3 linked regions of the Caenorhabditis elegans genome follow. The protein of the gene in region 3 interacts with the protein of the main gene of each other region in a pairwise test. Each region holds a gene or a part of one and is shown on either strand. Other genes may lie near its edges.

Region 1 (7,140 bases), on a different chromosome or scaffold from region 3:
TCACAACTGTTTTCCGATTTTCTTTTGTTGGACTTGAGAATTGGAATTCAATTCTTTCACACAAGACATTGTCACTTTTGCAACGTTCGGTTCCACTTTTTTATCATAATAACTATAATCAATCATAGTAAATGTTTGCAAGCTTCTGTTATTAGGATGGTTTTTTGTCGCAGATTTTTTTGCTTATTATAAAGGTACATATCACTAGCATTAATAATGAAAATTTTTTAACTTGATTTTGAGGTTGTTATGTTTTATTGTAAAATCAAAATATTTTTAACTAACTCATTTTAGCACTGCTGAATAATTAATAAGTACAACTATTTAACAGATTTTTTTTGAGTCACAATCCGGGATGGACGGCATTCTAAAATGTTGGGCATTTCGGATGTTTCGGCAGATGTTGAGTTTTAAAAATTGTGGCAATCGGTTTTTTCGGCAATTGCCGTCTACCCCTTATGAAAATATTTATTTCAAAATGTACCTGTTACAAAAATGCCACTTTCAAAAAAATTCTCTATTAAATTTTTTTTTCGATAAAAATTTACGAGGTTTGATGTAAATTATTATTAGTAGTAATAGATATCTTTTGGAAAATTTAATATGTAGTGCAATCATTCTCCAATCTCGGTAATATTGACTTATTTAATATTTTGCCTTAATTTAGCCACCAATATTAGACAATATTATTTCAAACGTCCTGAATGAAATCATCATTCGGAAGTGATCTAATCCATTTAACAAATAAATATTTATATCTAAAGCTTTTCGCCCGTCATCCTATCATCGCCTTTTTCGTCCTTTTCCCTATAATCAGACTATCGGTGAACGAGGAGAGAAATGTCAATAAACAAATTGATTAATCATCTTTGACAGGTGCCGGTGACCGGAAAATCCGTCATATCATAGTGTGAGGCAATCCGTTTTGAAAAAAATTCTATTGTGTTTGCAAAGTTAAACAGTTTTCAATATTCGTGTAATCTTAATTTTTTGTTTAGTGAGATTCATTTAAAAAAAGTAGTTCGAAATTTCAACGTTCCTCTAGATTCCTGACCACTTTCATTCTTAAACCGAATTATAACACATAACATCATGCACAAACATTATCATAATCTGTTGTATTTCCATCTTTATTTCTTATCACTTTTCGCATCTGTAGTTCGTTACAATTTTACGAGTTCTCGCTCATTCTCACTCCCGACTATCTTTCATTCCATTCCTCTCGATATTTATATTCATAATAAATAAATGCACTATAAATTTCTCCATCATCATTTTGCCTAGATTAATTCAACAATTGCATTTGGAGAGTAGCATATGTTTTCAGAATTTGTTCAAAATCACCTAGAATTCATCAATCAAGTCTGGAGTTTAAAAAAAAACCTAAGCTTTTATCCTCATCTTTTCACAAAACATCATCATTAACCGTTACTAAAGTATGCAACTATTAATCTGCTACTGCTTGTTGTTGTTTTGTATACATATCATGTTGTATTACATGTTGCTGGTCGACATCTCCTGTGAATTTAGTTTTACATTTTATTAGTTTTTTTGCACCTCTGAATACTATATTTTTATCATTAATAAAATAATATAATATCTAAATTCAAACAAATTCGAATTGTTTCTGTGCCAAAAACTATTCACGTTATGAATTGGTAACACTGAAAACTTCAGATGATGTTTTTAAAATATTTTTTTTTAAATATTTTTAAACTCAAAATTGGAACTATTTCAATTTCAGGGGTGCGCGACATTTGGTAATTTTGAAAACATTGGAAATAAAAATTACAGGAATTGCCGGATTTTGTTGGCAATCTTGTAACCTAACAAATTTAAGCTTGAAATGTCATGTGTATTTTAGTAGAGTTTTTTTGTCATCCGTTTGCTTGAGATAATTCAAAAATTTTAGAATTTGAGATACTTTTTTTTTCCAATTCCCGCGCACCTCTGTAGATCACAAAACTTGTTTTGTAATTAACTTTGTCATTTTATTAAAAGAATGTAACTTCTATATGAAGAGTATTTATTGTATTTAACAAAGAAATACGAATAATTTTGATTTTCTAACCAAGCCCAATGTTTTACTAGCTTGAAGTTTGATGTAACTCCATTATTGCACAGTAATCTGTGGTGTGAAACTGGCACGTATGTATGATTGAAATCACTAGAGAGATAAAAGAAGATAAAAGATTTTGCAAAAGTGGTTTAGTGCGGCACAAGCAATTGTTATGCGCTACCAACTTGTCTTCGTGTTCGCCAGAACTCACGAGCAAACACCACACTCTCTTCTCTTCTTGACAGTACAAAGAAATTGGCACATAATAGAAACCTGAGAGCTCTTTACTTCTTCCGTAGCACATCCTTCTTTTGTTTTTCGCTCATTTTCGTGTGTGTTATTCTCCCATCATCGTATTTTTTCACTACATATGCATAAAGTTGTTGATACATCATAGTCTGAATCATGGAACATCTCGTGGTCGCACATGTCTCCTTCTTCAAATTTTTTATTCAACAAAACAATGATTTCAAATTGTTGTATAAAAAACTAACCAAGCCTTTTTAAATTGCTAAGTTTCCGTTCAACAATTCATGTTCCTATTGAATCATTTTTTATTGTTGAAACCCATTATTCTACATTCAGCAATATGTAGGCAATTTGATTGAAATTCTATCCGCTTTTCCAAAAAGGAATGATGAAAATTTTAAAGGTTTTTTTTTCAGAATTGTATGGACATAGAAAATCTACAATCGTCAAACAACAGGTCACAGAAAAGTCGTCCTCCGGACGGCTTCAACGCCATCTTACAGACAGCATTTTCTGCTATTTTGGTGAGTATTTTTGCCATAATTTTAATACAAGTTAATACTAAATTAAAAATACTCCTATTAAATTTTTTAACTTAAAGGTAAAGTTAGGCCAAAACGAGATTTTCATTCGAGAAGAGATATTCATTCAGATTTCGCGCCTTTCTCGAAAATTGTCAAAATTCGTAAATATTGGATAATAATTAAAAAAATTTTTGAAGTTTCACGATGATTTTTTTTCAGTCCATCTTTATATTTATATCACATCCCTCTATATGATATTGAATCTGACATATGTTTTCTTTAAAATAAGCGTTCAGCCTGAGACCCTTCCCTCTCTCAATTATAATAAGAACAAAAGGGTATCAAAAATGCGGATCTTTTTCTTTAAATCGTGTCAAATTTCTCACAGTTTCCCGTGTTATTTCCAAGCATATTCTTCTTTTTACACCGGGCTTTCCGCTCTCAGAATTTATTAAATTCAAAATGTTTCGCGTATGGGTGGCAGCAAAAGCGTGCAATTGTGGATCTCGTACATTCGCTTGCAGACATGACCACCACACTTCCACTTTTTTCTAATAATCATTGCATTTCGGATACTAATTGCGTCTTGTGGTTGTCGGGTGGCCCTTCAACCGTCTCATTACATAAGGGCCTTCGTTCCGATAACTTTTTGCCCTTTTGGCGATCTGAAAACTGAGAGGAAAGAGGAAAACTAGTCCAGTAGATACACTATCCATTCATTAGAGAAAATTTGAATTCTTGACGCCTTCACCATTCCATTTCAATTCCCACACACCTTCTTACAACAATTCACCAATTAATTTGCTTTCTGAATTCAGGCGTTTGTCCTCTCTCTACGTATAATTGTGTTCGCCACGGCCCGGAAACGACTTACCACCACGGCGGCAAATCCGGATATTCAGGTTGAGGAGGCGTCGTCTTCCTCATCCGATACCAGCTCCGACACCGAAATTGTAGAAGAGGGTGTATTTATACAGGTGAGACCTTTTCTTGATTGTTTTTTCTTTTCACAAGACATTATCAATTTTTTATACTTTTGCCGTATAGGTTAAAAACTGAGTTTTAACATTTAACGTCTTGAAAGCGGAATTTTGTTTTCATTCACATATGAATAATTGTCAAACACGATTAAATATCGTAATTACACACATTTTAAGTTTTCATGTTCTTCGGAAGAATTATTTTCGGGAGAATAAGAATTATTTTTGAAAAAATGTCTTGCTTTCAAATAATTTCTCAATTATTTTGGGCATTACTGGAGATTTGAACACAACAATGTATATATAAAAATAATATGAATCTCCTTAATGTGTAAAACTGACAGGACATGTATTTTTTGGTTGACTTCCAAATGATTTATTGAAACTAAGTAAATGTTACTTTGTTTTGATTTTGTGTGTGATTTAAAAATTATATACATTTTTGATATGTTTGTTGGCTATTTTCGGATAGTGTAAATGTCTTGATCATATTAATATGCTAGGGATACCCCACATTCGAACAGTTCCAGATGATATTGAATGAAGATAATTTTAATAATAGTGGTAACGGAATAGAATGTATACATTGTAAAATTATACAACTTTTGAGCAAAAATTCACAATTAATTTACTCACAACACATGTGTTATTCAAAATTGTACGTGAAGCAATAAATCAAAAATTTAATTATAAAAGTGTCAAAATTATTATTTCTTTCCTGAAATTTATCTAATAACCATGTCTTGATTATGAGTCACTGACTAGAAATTTGCTTATTTTTAGTTTAATTTACGTTACCTACCTTAGTATTCAGTTCTTAATTCGCATCTTTTCCCAATTCCACTTGGCCAATTTTCTTCAAATTACCAATTCTGAACCATCTAACTCAACTCATCAAATCTCGACTCATTCATTCCACCAGACTCTAGCAACCTTATTAAAACTGTTCAATTGTTCCGTTGGAGATGTCAAGAGGGGCAGAAAACAGAGAGGGTCACAGACGTTTGCCCTTCCTCCAAATCGTCTTGGCCACTAACCTCTGTCGTGTTTTTTAATGTGCTACTACCTGGCTTCTTATGTGGTATTTGTGGTGTATATGTTGAATTTGTGTTATACTTTTACTTTTCTATATTCACGAGTTTTATACAGTTTAGAATTTATTTGTTCAACTAAAAATCTGCAAATGTCTCGATTGTAATTACTTAGTATACTTAGTAGGTTTAACGAACTTGAACTTTTTAATTTTTACTTATATTTGTAGTGAATTGATTATTGTAGGGATTATTCGTGTTTTAAATTTGAAAAAAAAAACACTTGTACCCTCTTGCTCCACCTTGGCAGTACTTGGGTAATTTTTGTTTTTATCAAAAAAAAATAAAATAGTCAAAATAGTCAACTAAGAAATATTAAATTCAACATAATTTTTTTCTTTGATAAACCCAAGGAGAACCGAAGTGTAAGCCGACAACTCAATAGTGAAAGTGAATTTTACTTTTACATAATTTTCCTTAGTGAAACTAAGTTGCGGAAAATTTTCTCAAACGATGCCAACTGGGAAAAGTCGAGTAAAAAGATACTGCCGTGCACTGCACGGTATACAAAAAGGAGATGCACCAACCTCAGCCACCTTGTCAATACACACAAATATGCATATACGTACCAGCTAACGCATATAAAAAGCCCTGTTTATTCAGATGATTCACACAAAACAACCCCGCCAGCTCTTCTGCCTTTTTGCCCCTTTTTCTTTTTTCTCTGTACATCGTTGTGTTCATATAATACAATATGTTTGATTTTTTGACTTTTGCATCCATCTCTATTCCTCTTCAAGTCACCAATCTTTCGCACTTTTTGTTTTTTCTTTATGTCTCGGGATTTCTTCATTTTCTGGTCATTTGTCATCAAATCATTGTACCGTCACTACCAATTAGTCATCATATCCGTTCAGTGTACAACGTTCCGTTCACTCCGAAAAGGTAGATTAATCCAAACCGCCTGTCAATCAAATTGTAGAGCCTACAACTATGATCTTACGCAGATTTCATTTCGTTTGTGTTTCTCCTTATACAATTTTCAATGCCATCACCATCACACCTTCTGATTTATGAGGTTCTGTATAGAGCGAAAGAATTGAAGGTTAACACTTACTATTAGATAAAAAGTGGAATAAAAACCAAAATCAAAACCAATATCTAAGGTTGAAAAATAAATAAAAAATTGGATAGGTAGAGCGGTGAGCTCTTTTCCCCCGTTTGTGCAAATCTCGGTCTCGACATCTATTTGATTGTTTGCACAATGTTTTTTTTCCAGTATTATCTTCTCTTTCATTCCACTTCCCGCTTTTTAGATGATACTTTTGACCATTTCATGTAGCCGCTTTCTTTTTTGTCTATTTAAAAACAAAGTATTCTAGTTTTAGTTTTTAGTTCATGGTTTTATTTATATTAGGTGTTCCAAATTGAAGAAACTGTTTTATTGAGAATTGTTATAGTATGTTCCATTGTCAATCAAATGTTTTGGCATTTTGATTAGAATCAAAATTGTTTTTTTTTATTGAAACAATATTTTTAAAACTTTTTAATTTATTACGCTCTCTCGGAGATGTAAAAAATACACAATAAAAATAGGAAAATTTGAAAAAAAAAAAATTAAGACTCATAAACGTTGCAAATACTTTTCTCAAAACTTTATCAAACCGTATAAAAAAACTGTCACTGACAAAACCTGCATTATGTCGTTTATGCATCATAACTGTAGAATATCTTCTGATGTACTCGAAAAAAAATGAATAGTCAAATAAGAGTGGTTACTTTTGCGTCAATAAATCTACTGTAAGCAAAATTGACAGAAACAGTTTTTTAGTTCAAGAAATTGAGTAGAACAAATTTAAAATTACAGAATTCTAAGAAGATATATGACCTTTCAAAAAAATTTCGGTTTCAAATTAAATGTATCACAAAGTAGAAAATGCATTTGAGTTTGAATTAATTCAACTTTGAAAAAAAATTTCACAAGAAGTGTTGGAAAAAATATCTCTAAAGCTGTGTTTTCCTCTAGAATCCAATCTCTAGATCTTTTAAAATTAAGCTTTACTTTTCATATTCCAGTTGCTTCATTCAATTTACTACTTACACCGCTTTTTCCTAGATCTTATGGTTTCTCCGTTTTGTAACCGCAAAAAGTGATACCTGTTATGTTACGACGACCCAGATTGTATCGCTGAACGGTTATAAAACAATTGTCGGAACGAAAAGTTTTGTTGACATTGTTGGTATAACTTATTGAATTGACAAATTTATCCGCTTAACAAGAAGCAATTTTACGGTTT
Region 2 (5,903 bases), on a different chromosome or scaffold from region 3:
ACTCGAATTCTTCCAATTTTAGAACATGACCGGCAGTTTTTTGTTCTGGATTTTCGTCACTCATTTCATTCCGAAACTTGGGTTTTTGTTAACTTTAACGTTTGGATTAACACTTCTCTCGTTGAATTATCTGGGAGCCCAGAGAAATTTCGGTTCCTATAAGTACCTTATCAGCGCGTTCACCGCACTTGGCATGTGTTTTGCTACAGTGGAGATTGTTGTGTACCCGGTAGGTTTACTGTGGCGCCCGACGTTTAACGGGTTCCGAAGTGTTGCAACTCGTCAGGTGTCGGCTGCAGCTTTTGTAACTAATTTTAGAACGTGCACAACTTCAAAGCAGCTCTATTGTTCTTCAGTTTCGAAGAATCATTTTGGTTAAGTGGGCCATGGTCGAGAAACATTCCGCTAGGCCAGTCCAAAATCAAGTTTCTCAGTTGAAACTGTAAATTTTCAGCAGGCTACACATTTTTCCATTCTGCAACAATGTCTCTACTATCTGTGCAGTTTATTTACAGATATTGAGCAGTTTTTGAGTGAGTTATTACGTTTACAGTTTCACTATGTTGATTTAAAAGCAGCGGCATTACTAAGCTCACTCGTAGTACGATCAATCACCAGTAACTCTAACAAAAACCTATTTACTGCAACCGACGTCTACCTAAACAAAAATAATTTAGGGAGTTGTCGGGCGCTTATTGCAGCGAGAAAAAAGCACCCGACATCGCCCGGTTTCTGTTTTTTAATGCTGAACCCGGAATATGTCTGGCGCTTCACAAAATTCTTATATTTCAGCACCAACAAGCTCGCCTATTTCAAAGGCTTCTACTCCCTGATCTGGGTCGCCTATTGCTCATTTTTCGGCTTCCAGTATGCACTGGGAACCTATTTCTTTTTGGCGAGAGACCAGGTCTCAGATACAAAATAAACAGTTTTTCAAGACATTGATCCTTCAGGTATATAAATTTTGCTTTGCGCCCGACACCTCATGGGTTTCCACAGAAAACCCGCAAGGTGTCGGCCGCTTAAGTCCGATTACTAAAATTGTTACAATGTAGATCACAATGCCGACGATCATATTATTCATTCCAATAACTGTCATAATTTTCCTTCCTTTATTCAACTTAGATGTGAGCTTGCCGTCTGGAGTAATGCTGTGCAGCTTTACTTTGTATCCAGCCACGGATTCACTTATTGTGATGTATGTCGTTTCGGAGTATCGAATGACTGCAAAAAGTAAGCAAATTCCCAAAACTTTCAGTTGCAGCCGACATCTGGCGGTCTTCATTTTTCCATAGTGTTCCGTAGCGCTTGACTTCTAGCGGATTCAGCATATGTTCACATCGAGAACCCGGTAGATGTCGGGTGCTTGCAACAACCCGTGCAAGAAAAACCTCACAAACTTCCAGGAATTCGAATGATTCTGTTCAGAAGTTTCAAAGAGATTAAACAGTCAAGAGTTGGCACAATCGCGTCAGTAGGAGCAACAAGTTTCACACCAATGCCGCCATGAAAATCAATAACATTCTCATTTCCTCACTATTCTATCTATTTCCTCCATTAAATTTGAAAAAACAAACACTCAGAATATGTGATAAACGATGAAGAGAGTAGTCCGTCACCGGTTTTTCTACCGCCATATGTCCCCTCCTTATTCTCTCCTTTCTCTCTACCCCTTTCGTGTCATTGCACTAGATGACAAAGGAAAATGTGACTGCTTGGCGCAATGGTAGCGCGTTCGACTCCAGATCGAAAGGTTGGGCGTTCGATCCGCTCAGTGGTCAAAGTTTTTTTTTTTTTTCTAAATTTGAGTAAAAACTTAAAGTTATCAATATTATTTATTAAAAAAGTATAAAGAAGTATTGTCTTGTATATACACATAACTGGTGTCACAATTATACATTGGATGACTACATTCTCTTGCAACATTGTCCATTTCCACACGGAGAATAGTTTTGCTGGCAAGAGCAGGAGTTGACTGATTGAGTGAGGCATGGCATCTGGACTAGTTGAGCAGTAGAGCACGATTGATAGCATGATTGGGTGCATGCTGGAGCACATTGCTGCATTGGTTGTTGTTGTTGAATGCATTGTTGTTGGCATGATTGTTGGCATTGTGGAACACATTGAGCAGATTGAGAAACTGAAGGTTCTAGGATGACAGTCACAATTTGTGGAGCAACAACTGGAGATTGGCATGCTGATTGGCATTGCTGACATTGTGGAGCAGCTGGTTGCTGACATTGTGGAATACATTGTTGTTGGCACTGTTGAGTCTGTTGGCACGAAGTTTGACATTGTTGGCAAGCTGGTGCAGATGGAAGTGTGCATTGTGGAGCACACTGTTGCTGGCAAACTGGAGCATACTGCTGGCAAGTATTCTGGCACTGCTGGCACTGTGGAGCTGATGGCTGTTGGCATTGAGGAGCACACTGTTGTACGCATTGTGGAGCTGCTTGCTGACAGGTTGTCTGGCATGGTTGAGTACATTCCTGATAGCACTGTTGAACTGGAACTTGTTGTAGAAGACATTGTTGTTGACACTGTTGTTGGCATTGTGGAGCACATTGAGCAGAGATTCCCAAGTTGACATTGATGACTTGTGGAGCAACAGTTGGAGCACATTGTTGAACACATTGCTGCTGACATTGTGGTTGACATTGTTGAATTGGTTGAGCTTGAACACATTGTTGAGTGCACTTTTGTTGGCATTGTGGAACACACTGGACTGTGACTGGAGCTGGAGCAACACAGGATTGTTCACAGGCTGGCATGCAAGATGGTTGACATTGGACTGGAGCTGGAGCAGCTATTTGAGTATAACAGGAAGACGTCTGACAAGTCTGCTGGCATGAAGATTGACACTCATTCATAGATGGAGCAAATTGACATTGGTTCTGGCAAGACTGCTGACAAGCTGGAGCACATTGAGAAGTTTGCACTTGGTAAGTTACTTGCTGAACTGGTTGGGCACATGAGCAGGATGTCTGGACTGGAGCAGTGTTCTGACACGAACAACTGTACTGTTGTGGTTGAGTTGCTTGTTGGCATGAACAACTTGGTTGAACTTGTGAAGCACAACCACATGATTGACGTTTATCACGAATTGAAGATGCCTAGAAATAATATAATGTTTCAAGGTGTACATATAAATTGTTAACTAATTCTACAGATAATTCAGAAAGTAAGTGAAGCAACAGTAATACAAATCGTACCTCAACAATAAGAAGGCTAGAAACAAGAAGAACTGCTGCAATTGTAATAAAACGCATTGTCAATATGATTGAAGAGCTGCTAAGAGACAATTGATGCCCTTGTTTTAATTTTTCCGACTTTTATACCAACGTCCTACAACCCTGTTTCATTAGCCATCAAACAGTTCCGTCCCACTTATCAAACTCCATCCATCAACCGGCTTCATGCTCAGCGCAAACATAACAATGATAACATGGCAAATGAACCAAAAAACACGCTCGTCGCCTCCCAGTCTTACACACACTATTTCTTGAGGGCACGGCAAGTTGCAAAGATCAAAAAGAGGTTGGGTGCGCGTTTGCACTGATACAGTGTTTTTTTTTTGGATTGCGCCGAGTTTCCGCTTAACTATGTGTACCAAAAAATTTCGTTTACATTTTCAGAAAAGTAATGAAAGGGTTACCTGTTGAACTTTAGAGTTCGGATTTCGACAAAACGATTTTAAATTGTTTATTGCCTTTTGACGCCACTCATTATTAGAAACACCTTTTTGTTTGCTCTCACAATAGCCATTCGAAATTACAAGACTTGAACTCTTGGACTATTTTTTCCGGCACTATTTTTTTACATTGCTATAATCGTACGCAAGCAGTGTTTGAGGGGGTATATAAAGCCTTGATATCTGTGGAAATCATCAAGCCCTGCTTCTTCAACCATTATCATGCGTTTCATCGTATTTGTAGCTCTCTTTGCTTCCAGCTGTCTGCTTATCGAGGTTTGATAAAGTTTCATTGTACTTTCACTTTTAGAATGGCACGACATTTCTAAACTTTTTCAGTTAGTATTTCGGTTTATTAATAATTAAAAATATTATATTAACTACAACAATTTTCCATCACTTGATGAAAAATTCATCATGTACAGTTTTTTCAAAATGTTCTTGATAATACGGTCTAGTTTTCTAAGTGCCCACATCTTACAAATATTTGTTGGACGTAATCGATGTTAGCAACAAAATGCTTGTTTTCCAAGTTCACAGAAGTTTTTTCCAGGCAACATCAATTCGTGATAAACGTCAATCATGTGGTTGTGCTTCACAAGTTCAACCAAGTTGTTCATGCCAACAAGCAACTCAACCACAACAGTACAGTTGTTCGTGTCAGAACACTGCTCCAGTCCAGACATCCTGCTCATGTGCCCAACCAGTTCAGCAAGTAACTTACCAAGTGCAAACTTCTCAATGTGCTCCAGCTTGTCAGCAGTCTTGCCAGAACCAATGTCAATTTGCTCCATCTATGAATGAGTGTCAATCTTCATGCCAGCAGACTTGTCAGACGTCTTCCTGTTATACTCAAATAGCTGCTCCAGCTCCAGTCCAATGTCAACCATCTTGCATGCCAGCCTGTGAACAATCCTGTGTTGCTCCAGCTCCAGTCACAGTCCAGTGTGTTCCACAATGCCAACAAAAGTGCACTCAACAATGTGTTCAAGCTCAACCAATTCAACAATGTCAACCACAATGTCAGCAGCAATGTGTTCAACAATGTGCTCCAACTGTTGCTCCACAAGTCATCAATGTCAACTTGGGAATCTCTGCTCAATGTGCTCCACAATGCCAACAACAGTGTCAACAACAATGTCTTCTACAACAAGTTCCAGTTCAACAGTGCTATCAGGAATGTACTCAACCATGCCAGACAACCTGTCAGCAAGCAGCTCCACAATGCGTACAACAGTGTGCTCCTCAATGCCAACAGCCATCAGCTCCACAGTGCCAGCAGTGCCAGAATACTTGCCAGCAGTATGCTCCAGTTTGCCAGCAACAGTGTGCTCCACAATGCACACTTCCATCTGCACCAGCTTGCCAACAATGTCAAACTTCGTGCCAACAGACTCAACAGTGCCAACAACAATGTATTCCACAATGTCAGCAACCAGCTGCTCCACAATGTCAGCAATGCCAATCAGCATGCCAATCTCCAGTTGTTGCTCCACAAATTGTGACTGTCATCCTAGAACCTTCAGTGTCTCAATCTGCTCAATGTGTTCCACAATGCCAACAATCATGCCAACAACAATGCATTCAACAACAACAACCAATGCAGCAATGTGCTCCAGCATGCACCCAATCATGCTATCAATCGTGCTCTACTGCTCAACTAGTCCAGATGCCATGCCTCACTCAATCAGTCAACTCCTGCTCTTGCCAGCAAAACTATTCTCCGTGTGGAAATGGACAATGTTGCAAGAGAATGTAGTCATCCAATGTATAATTGTGACACTAGTTATGTGTATATACAATACAATACTTATTTATATTTTTGCAATAAATAATATTAACGATCATGTTCATTTATTTTACAGTTGAAAAATAATAAATCAACTTTAGAATGTAATTTTATTTTTCTAAGAGGATAATTTATCATGCTTAACTACCTCTTTGAAATTAAAAACTAGAGTCAGTATCATAAAAAAATTGTTTTTTCATTTTAAAAGACATTTACATCCATAAATTGAGCGTTTTCATTGCGCAGTTGTTTTGAAAATTACCTGGAACATTAAAAAGTGTTTGTTTGCGTCCGTATTGTATTATTTGTTTTCAATAATTTAATAAGTTTTTTAAAGATTGATGAATTATATATTTCTTGGAAGCTTAATTTGATTAATGCTCCCTACTAACTGGCTCGTGTGCCATATTTTGAAGACTGCTG
Region 3 (8,229 bases):
GGTTAACTCGGTGTACAAGCCGACGAAGCCCCACGTTGAGCTGAAGACGGTCAAACGGGAGGAGTTTTGGAGCAAGATGAACGAGGAGGAGAAGCTGTGGGTGTTTTGAGTAATTTATTGAAATAGAATTCGCAATTTTAGGCGTCAAGAAGAAGAAAAAACCGCTCGTGAACAAGCACACAAGCAGTTCGAAGCGGATCGACAGCGAATGGCCTCGGAAATTCACTCCAAAACAGAAAACTATCAACCGGATAAGGTCACATCGGTGTACAAGCCAACAAAACCGCACGTGGAGATCAGTTCATCAGCTCGCGAAGAGTTCTGGAGCAAGATGAACGAGGAGGAGCAGCGGCGGCAAGCGGAGGAAAAAGAGGCACAGGCCCAGAAGCAGAAGGAATTCGAGACGGATCGAAAACGGATTGCGGATGATCTTCACGGGAAGGCTCAAATTAGTGATAAGCCCGTGCCATCTTCGGTGAATCCAGCTCCAGCTCCCGCCCCCACTCCGAGCGCAGGTCTCGTTGGAAGCAGAAAAGAATTATTCAGCTCAAAACCTTCCGGTCCAGTGCTTCCGAAGCCTCAAGTGAATGGATCGCCTAAGAAGTGGCCGCCAGTTGGCACGACCTCTCCGCCCCGTGAACCCGTTAACCGACTCACTGAGCCAGATGAGCCTTCGACGTATACGCCAAAGCCAATAGCTTATGAGCCAGAGCCAATGGTTTACAAGCCCGAGGCTATGAGTCAGTTTTCGTATAAAGTTTATTAGTCCTAATTTGAATATTTTCAGAACCTGCCGTCTCTTACGATGCATACGAAGAGCCACCAGCAGAGCCAGCTCCACCTACATTCCTTGCTCCAACCCCGGTCATTGCTCCACCTCCACCTGAGCCAACTCCAGCTCCATCGCATTACGCCTCCCAGTACGATGCTCCACCGGTTCACGAGTCTTTCGAACCAGCTGTACCTCCAGTTTCAGCTCCTTCCCACTATGCGTCTCAGTATGATGCTCCGCCGGAGCCGATCGACTCTCACTCATCGAGCTCTCAACTGCCAGCTCACATCGCCTCACAGTATGACATGCCTCCAGTGATGCCAGAGGAGCCCGTGTTTGCACCGAAATCCTCGCCAATAAAAGTCGCTGCTCCACCAATTGATCAGTACGATTTCCCGCCGGCGGTCGCCGAGCAGAACGCGATGGCTCTCTGGGACTACCAGGCTGCAGATGACACGGAGATCTCATTTGATCCTGATGACATTATCACAGATATCGATCAAGTCGATAGCGGATGGTGGAAAGGACGTGCGCCCAGCGGCCGCGTAGGCCTTTTTCCCGCTAATTATGTGAAGCTGATTTAATTTGTCTAGATAGCCTAACCGTTCTTTTTTACTAATTTATTGTGCAATGTTTTTTTCCCATTTTAAACTCAACAATCCGCGGTGCCTCCCATTCTCCCACTTCCTGTAATTTATTATACCATTACTTTTTATGTGCATTTTCTCCGTAAATGGCAATATGAATCGAAAATCGAAGAATCTGTTTTTATAATCAATTATTTCATTCACAGGACGATAATAAGCGCAGTCTCGAGTACAATATTGATGATGATAATGCTATTTAATTTATGAAATCACTGGGGGAATTGCAAATACGAAGTTGGCACGAATCCTGACTCTTCGTTGTGTTTCCTGCAACTTTCATTTTATTTACTTGGTAATTCTTTGTTACTTGTATTACTTTTTGGTTCGAGTCCATCCATCTCCGTGATCGTGTTCGAGTACGAGAAGAATTTCGCCCTGCTCGATGGACATGGTCTCCGCGGAGGATTTGGCAAATTCGAACAGTGCGGTTACCGTAACCGCTGTCTCGACTTTAACTGAATCGGGAGTCGATAAAGATTTGCGAATGGCACCTGCAAAAAATTTATACTTATATTTAACTATTTTTTCTTTTATAAAAGCTTTTAAAAGGAAAAAAATGGATTTTTAATTTAACCTGAAAATGAGGATCTGAGAATCTTTGGTGATGAGATTTCGGCTCTTCGTCGTAGTGGCGTCGGAGTTGAAGACTTCGAGGTTTTTGGCGAGGAGATAAGCCGTTTCGGAGTTGTAAACAGTTGGCGGAGCTGAAAAACGCACAGTGGGTCTCTAAACGAACAATCAATTATTTTTTATTGCGCCAAAAGTACGGTATTTCGACACGACAAATTTGTACTAAACGCGAAAAGGTGTACGTATTGAAGAATACTGTAATTTCAAATTCTCGTATTATCGGTTTTTGACTATGTCCTCTAATTTTTTTTGGTATTCAACGCTGAAATAGCCAAATTATTTTTTAATTTAAAGTGTTTCAGACAAAAAACCAAAAAATAAATTGGGAAAAATAAATGCACCGTTCTTCTCGGAGAGTACACGAGATGCGTAAATCGACACATAGCGGTGTTGCAACAACATGTTAGAAGTTTGCTTTAACGGTAATTCTTATATTTTTAAGTATAAGGAAGTTTTAAAATTGAGTAAGACTTCAGTAATTTGTTTTTTTTCCTGAAAAACAACTTTTGGCTGCTTACGATATTCTTCGACGAGTCATCTGCTGATGAAGAATTTCCCGCTTCGCCAGACTGCAAAATACGATAATTTTCAGGAAAAACCGAACAGTTTAGTGATACCAGCACGTCTTCGATAGTTTTGGATGATGATTGATTTGTCGAACTGCCTGACATGCTTCTCGTTGTGTCAGGGGTATCACGGCCGCCAAAAGAGCGCTCCTGGCCTTCTGGAAAATTTGTGTTTAAAGGGATTATTTTTAAAAGAAGACATTCATTTTTTGAAAAGAGGTATTTTAACTAGAATTTTCGAAAATTTGACGAAAAACGTTTCATTTTCATCCATTCTTTGTATTTTCAGCACCTTCCACACTCATTTCAAGCATCGCGTAGAACTCCTTGAGGTTATGTATATCCATTTTGAGCTTCTCTATCTTTTTAGCGTACGATATAAGTGGTTCCGTGCACGCCGACGGATTCCCGTGCTGCGGATTTGTGTAGTAGGCTTGTTGCAGTCTGAAATTACAGCAAACGTAAAGTTTTGGGCCCGCCTATTTTAGAGATATTATTTTTCTTTTCTACACTTTTGGCAGAACTTCAGAGAAAATCATTTTTCCATTACTTAGATGCGAAATTAAGTGCCAAAAATACAGTAATCAGTTTCGAGACGACAAATTTGTGTTGAATACAAACCGGTATGTACCCTTAAAGATTACTGTAAATTTAAACTTTCATTGGACTAGAATTTGTTTGTCTTTTTTTTGTTGAAATTTTCTCAAAGTTTCAGTGCTCTCGGTGCATCTACTCGTACCTAGTGATGCCTTCTCGTCCCTGAATCGCTTGTTCCAACTGTTTTTCCATATCTCGAATTTTGGAGCGAAGACACGAAAGCCGCACGTGCGCAGGCTTGCTCTTGTCGGTATACATCAATTGATCGTTGTTGGAAGCCTCGGGCTTCTCATCCGCCTCCTTTTCCTTGAGAATGCCCAGAAAATTGCGAATTATTCGATTCTTGCTAGGGCTGCTTTTCAGCAATTTTCCTCCACTTCCGTCGGCAGAATCTGGAAATGTGTATTTTTATTTGGAAAAGGTTTGAAAATATGTATTTAGTATTTTAAAATTAAATAAATTCAGAAGATAAATTCTAGAAAAAGGAAATTTCGAGTCAAAAACTGCAAAGTTCCGACTTTTACAGATTTCTATTCACCATTTGTCCGGCTGTCACAATTTTTGGGATCCCCCAGATCCTCGATTTCAAACGGAGCCGGCTGCTCGATGGTTGCTCTGGAAATTATCTATTTTTACGGATTTTCAGTCGAAAAATACTGACTCAACGGATTTCAAAACCAGCTGAGCATCACCTTCCGCGTCGATTTTCCCAACTTCCCTTTGCATGATTTTTCGGCATTCTTCTGCAAAAAACATCGTCGATTTTTTCTTCTAAACGCGATAATAACCGGTTGAATCAGCTAGCGAGTCATCGAAGGAGACAATTTTCTGCAAAACTTGTCGCATATCGGCGATACACTCCTTGTCGACCGCCTTGAGCCGCGCGAAAATCACTGGGAGCAGTTCCACGTGGTATCTTTTTTGCTCGGCGTTGGTTTTGCGAACCAGCGCTGAGTAGTCCTGTTTAGCAAGTTCACATGCTTCATTTCGAGCCTGAAATAAATAAATAAAAGCGTTTTGCGATTTTTTGAGCCTATTACATTCGCAAGAGCCCTGGCTTTTTCTAACTCAAGCCGCGAAATTTCCAGATTTTTATCAGCTTTGTAAAACTTTTGATACGAGTTTTCCGCGTCTTTGAACGATTTTCTGCAATATTAACGATTCAAATCGACTTTTTTCAGATTTTTTCCTACAGGTAACACTTCCCAGACTTGCACATCTCGTTGATCTGATCTTCCAGCTTGTCATTGATAGTTTTCAAGTCATTAATCGCATTTTTCCGGGAACTTCTCATCTGACACGTCTTCGAAGCCACGTAGGAAACCACACCTCCCCGGATGTGCTCCGCCGACGTCTGAAATTCGATGTTTTTTTCAACTAAAATCTGACAGAATTCTTATACTTGATGTCGAGTGGCAATCTGATCAAGTTGTTGAAGAAATGAGTTGAATGAGCTGGTGTAGCTTACACTTTTTAGAATTTCATCATCTTCTTCCGATTTTTTCGCATATTTCTTTGCGAGACTCCTACAGAAAGTTATGAAAAACTTCAAATTCCGTTTGTTTAAACTGAAACCTCAATTTCGTAGAATATTCCTCCTCAATCGCAGCTTTTTCCTTCGAGAATTGACCTAATTTTTCGAAAAAATCTATTCCCTTTTGTGTGTACGAGAGGAGCGCGTTTGATGGGTCCTTAAATTTTGGTTTTAGAGTGGAAATCAATAGGAATTTTACCTGAACCGTGAAAAATCTAGAAACGGGAATCATTTGAACATCGAAAAATTGATTTGTTCGCAGAAAACCAATTGCGGAGTGATCGAGTGTAAATTTGTGATTGAAATTCAAATTTCTGTAGATCGTGTCGAGACCTGTCGCAGGTTTCAATGCGCGCGCCTTGAAAAACACAGTAGTTTAACTTTTTATTCAAATCACATTTCAGATTGTGTTTTACTATTCACAAGGACAGGCAATATTATAGTTTTAGCACGATAATTTTGGAAAGGCCGCATTACATCACATCATCAGCAAAAAATCATTTCTCAGACTCCTCAAGCCCCATCTGAAGATGCCTGTTGAGGAAGTTGTTGATATTGATTCGTCCGTCGACGACTTCCACGCCGAACAGCAAATTGTCCACCTCCTGATTCGTCATCTTCTCCCCGCCGTTTTGGAGCATGCTCTTAAGCTCCATGAGCATTATTTGTCCGTTTCCCTCGCGGTCGAAGTGCGATAGAAGCGTCTGAAAATTCGGAAATGTTGTCTAAAAAACCTTCAAGAAATCGAACCTGAAACTCCTTGAGTGTAGTGCTTCGCCCGCAGGCAGCTTCAACCTTTTTGTAGATAGGAATAAACTCTTCAACTGTGATGCGTGCTCCGGAAGTTCTTGCCTTGCTCACTTCGGCTAGAAGAGCCTCGGTAGGGTTGAGCATCATGGCACGGAGAGCTGTGGGAAGCTGAATTTTAAAAATTTGGTTTAAAGTTTCTAGGTCAATTTCGATGCTATGAAATTAGTGGTGGACCTCGATGCAACCGCGGTCGACAATCTAGTAGACATAGTTAAAATACTGCACGTTGTAAAAGAGTTCATTACGGAAACATAAAATTCTAGGAACGCGTTTTGCGCAACATATTTGACGCGTAAAATATCTCGTAGCGATATCTACAGTAATCCTTTAAATGACTACTGTAGCTCTTGTGTGTGTCGATTTACGCACTCGACTTTCGAAATGAATTAAAATCATTTATTTATCTACCAGCCGCTGACCGCGCCTACGGCGCGGCCAACGACTGGCGAAATTTAAATTGTTCGACACATAAAACACTATATAATCTTTTAACAATGTCACATGAAAACAGGTGGAAACTTTTACTTTTTCAAACATTCTGGAATGTAAAAAATATCACAGAAGCTTCCGCCTCTCTAACTCTCGAGCCAATACCTCTTCAAAAGCACAAAGTCAATTTTTTCTGAACTACAGTAACCCTACAGCAAATCCACAATACCCCTAGAGTACCTTGACATTATCCCACACCAACTCCTTAGCTCCCGCCAATATAATATCAAACACGAAGAGTCTCTCCACGAAGGGTCTCACCACGAAAGGTCTCACCACGATGGGTCTCACCACGAAAAGTCTCACCACGATGGGTCTCACCACGAAAAGTCTCACCACGATGGGTCTCACCACGATGGGGCTCACCACGAAAGATCTCACCACGATGGGTCTAACCACGATGGGTCTCACCACGATGGGTCTCACCACGAAAGATCTCACCACGATGGGTCTAACCACGATGGGTCTAACCACGAAGGGTCTCACCACGATGAGTCTCACCACGATGGGTCTCACCACGATGGGTCTCACCACGAAGGGTCTCACCACGATGGGTCTCACCACGAAGGGTCTCACCACGATGGGTCTCACCACGAAAGGTCTCACCACGAAAGGTCTCACCACGAAAGGTCTCACCACGATGGGTCTCACCACGAAAGGTCTCACCACGATGGGTCTCACCACGAAAGGTCTCACCACGATGGGTCTCACCACGAAAGGTCTCACCACGATGGGTCTCACCACGAAGGGTCTCACCACGATGAGTCTCACCACGATGGGTCTCACCACGATGGGTCTCACCACGAAGGGTCTCACCACGATGGGTCTCACCACGAAAGGTCTCACCACGAAAGGTCTCACCACGAAAGGTCTCACCACGATGGGTCTCACCACGAAAGGTCTCACCACGATGGGTCTCACCACGAAAGTTCTCACCACGAAAGGTCTCACCACGATGGGTCTCACCACGAAAGGTCTCACCACGATGGGTCTCACCACGAAAGGTCTCACCACGATGGGTCTCACCACGAAAGGTCTCACCACGAAGGGTCTCACCACGATGAGTCTCACCACGATGGGTCTCACCACGATGGGTCTCACCACGAAGGGTCTCACCACGATGGGTCTCACCACGATGGGTCTCACCACGAAGGGTCTCACCACGATGGGTCTCGACACGAAGGTTCTTTTTCTCAGAAATTTTAAATTCCAGCCAAAATATTTTCAAAAAATTAAAATTTGAATTCCCGCCAAAATATTTTCAAAAAATTAAAATTTTAAATTCCCACCAAAATATTTTCAAAAAATTAAAATTTTAAATTCCCGCCAAAATATTTTCAAAAAATTAAAATTTGAATTCCCCGCCAAAATATTTTCAAAAAATTAAAATTTGAATTCCCGCCAAAATATTTTCAAAAAATTAAAATTTGAATTCCCGCCAAAATATTTTCAAAAAATTAAAATTTGAATTCCCGCCAAAATATTTTCAAAAAATTAAAATTTTAAATTCCCGTTAAAATATTTTCAAAAAATTAAAATTTGAATTCCCGCCAAAATATTTTCAAAAAATTAAAATTTTAAATTCCCGCCAAAATATTTTCAAAAAATTAAAATTTGAATTCCCGGCAAAATATTTTCAAAAAATTAAAATTTTAAATTCCCGCCAAAATATTTTCAAAAAATTAAAATTTGAATTCCCGCCAAAATATTTTCAGAAAATTAAAATTTTAAATTCCCGCCAAAATATTTTCAAAAAATTAAAATTTTAAATTCCCGCCAAAATATTTTTAAAAAATTAAAATTTGAATTCCCGCCAAAATATTTTCAAAAAATTAAAATTTTAAATTCCCGCCAAAATATTTTAAAAAAATTAAAATTTGAATTCCCGCCAAAATGATTTCTCAGAAAATTTGAATTTCCCGCCAATTTGTGATGACGTCACAAAAGGGGCGGGGCCTATAGGACCCCTCTTAGGTGATTGAGACTACAAACTACAGAGTTCAAAGACCAAAGATCAAAGATCAAACTACAAACTACAAACGGACGGAAGGACACGCGCTTTATATATAGTAAATGATTGAATATTAAAATTTAGTAAAACATGAGAAAATTATTCGAAAAAACGAATGAAAGTTTAAAGAAATTGATTTCAAAAATCAAGCCGGTAAATCGACACAAATTCTA

What was found.
Region 1: the proteins of toca-2 (region 3) and ajm-1 interact in a two-hybrid assay, tested with the Caenorhabditis elegans proteins (one large-scale study listed by BioGRID).
Region 2: the proteins of toca-2 (region 3) and pqn-90 interact in a two-hybrid assay, tested with the Caenorhabditis elegans proteins (one large-scale study listed by BioGRID).

Annotation. Positions count from the first base shown.
Region 1 is NC_003284.9:9,080,253-9,087,392, forward strand, and holds the start of ajm-1 (Apical junction molecule ajm-1), read left to right. Parts: upstream 1-2,730; coding exon 2,731-2,832; intron 2,833-3,650; coding exon 3,651-3,809; intron 3,810-5,016; exon of another isoform or gene 5,017-5,219; intron 5,220-5,435; exon of another isoform or gene 5,436-5,577; intron 5,578-5,780; exon of another isoform or gene 5,781-5,971; intron 5,972-6,033; exon of another isoform or gene 6,034-6,181; intron 6,182-7,140.
Region 2 is NC_003282.8:15,287,994-15,293,896, forward strand, and holds pqn-90 (Prion-like-(Q/N-rich)-domain-bearing protein), read right to left. Parts: upstream 3,270-5,903; coding exon 3,213-3,269; intron 3,196-3,212; exon of another isoform or gene 3,174-3,195; intron 3,144-3,173; exon of another isoform or gene 3,114-3,143; coding exon 1,908-3,113; downstream 1-1,907. Other genes in the region: pqn-91 (Prion-like-(Q/N-rich)-domain-bearing protein), read left to right, coding at 3,914-3,967, 4,245-5,450.
Region 3 is NC_003281.10:13,752,748-13,760,976, reverse strand, and holds toca-2 (Transducer of Cdc42-dependent actin assembly protein 2 homolog), read right to left. Parts: upstream 5,034-8,229; 5' UTR 4,979-5,033; coding exon 4,946-4,978; intron 4,904-4,945; coding exon 4,788-4,903; intron 4,739-4,787; coding exon 4,615-4,738; intron 4,567-4,614; coding exon 4,406-4,566; intron 4,359-4,405; coding exon 4,253-4,358; intron 4,206-4,252; coding exon 4,001-4,205; intron 3,956-4,000; coding exon 3,874-3,955; intron 3,828-3,873; coding exon 3,751-3,827; intron 3,605-3,750; coding exon 3,355-3,604; intron 3,060-3,354; coding exon 2,908-3,059; intron 2,774-2,907; coding exon 2,667-2,773; intron 2,619-2,666; coding exon 2,568-2,618; intron 2,124-2,567; coding exon 1,994-2,123; intron 1,911-1,993; coding exon 1,736-1,910; intron 1,693-1,735; coding exon 1,629-1,692; 3' UTR 1,538-1,628; downstream 1-1,537. Other genes in the region: dbn-1 (DreBriN 1/DreBriN-like (where Drebrin is from Developmentally REgulated BRaIN protein) family homolog), read left to right, coding at 1-96, 142-740, 788-1,356; mlc-7 (EF-hand domain-containing protein), read right to left, coding at 5,244-5,450, 5,497-5,664. UniProt on the Caenorhabditis elegans protein: Plays a role in protein trafficking, actin organization and embryonic morphogenesis. Potentially acts as a cdc-42 effector. May play a role in egg laying.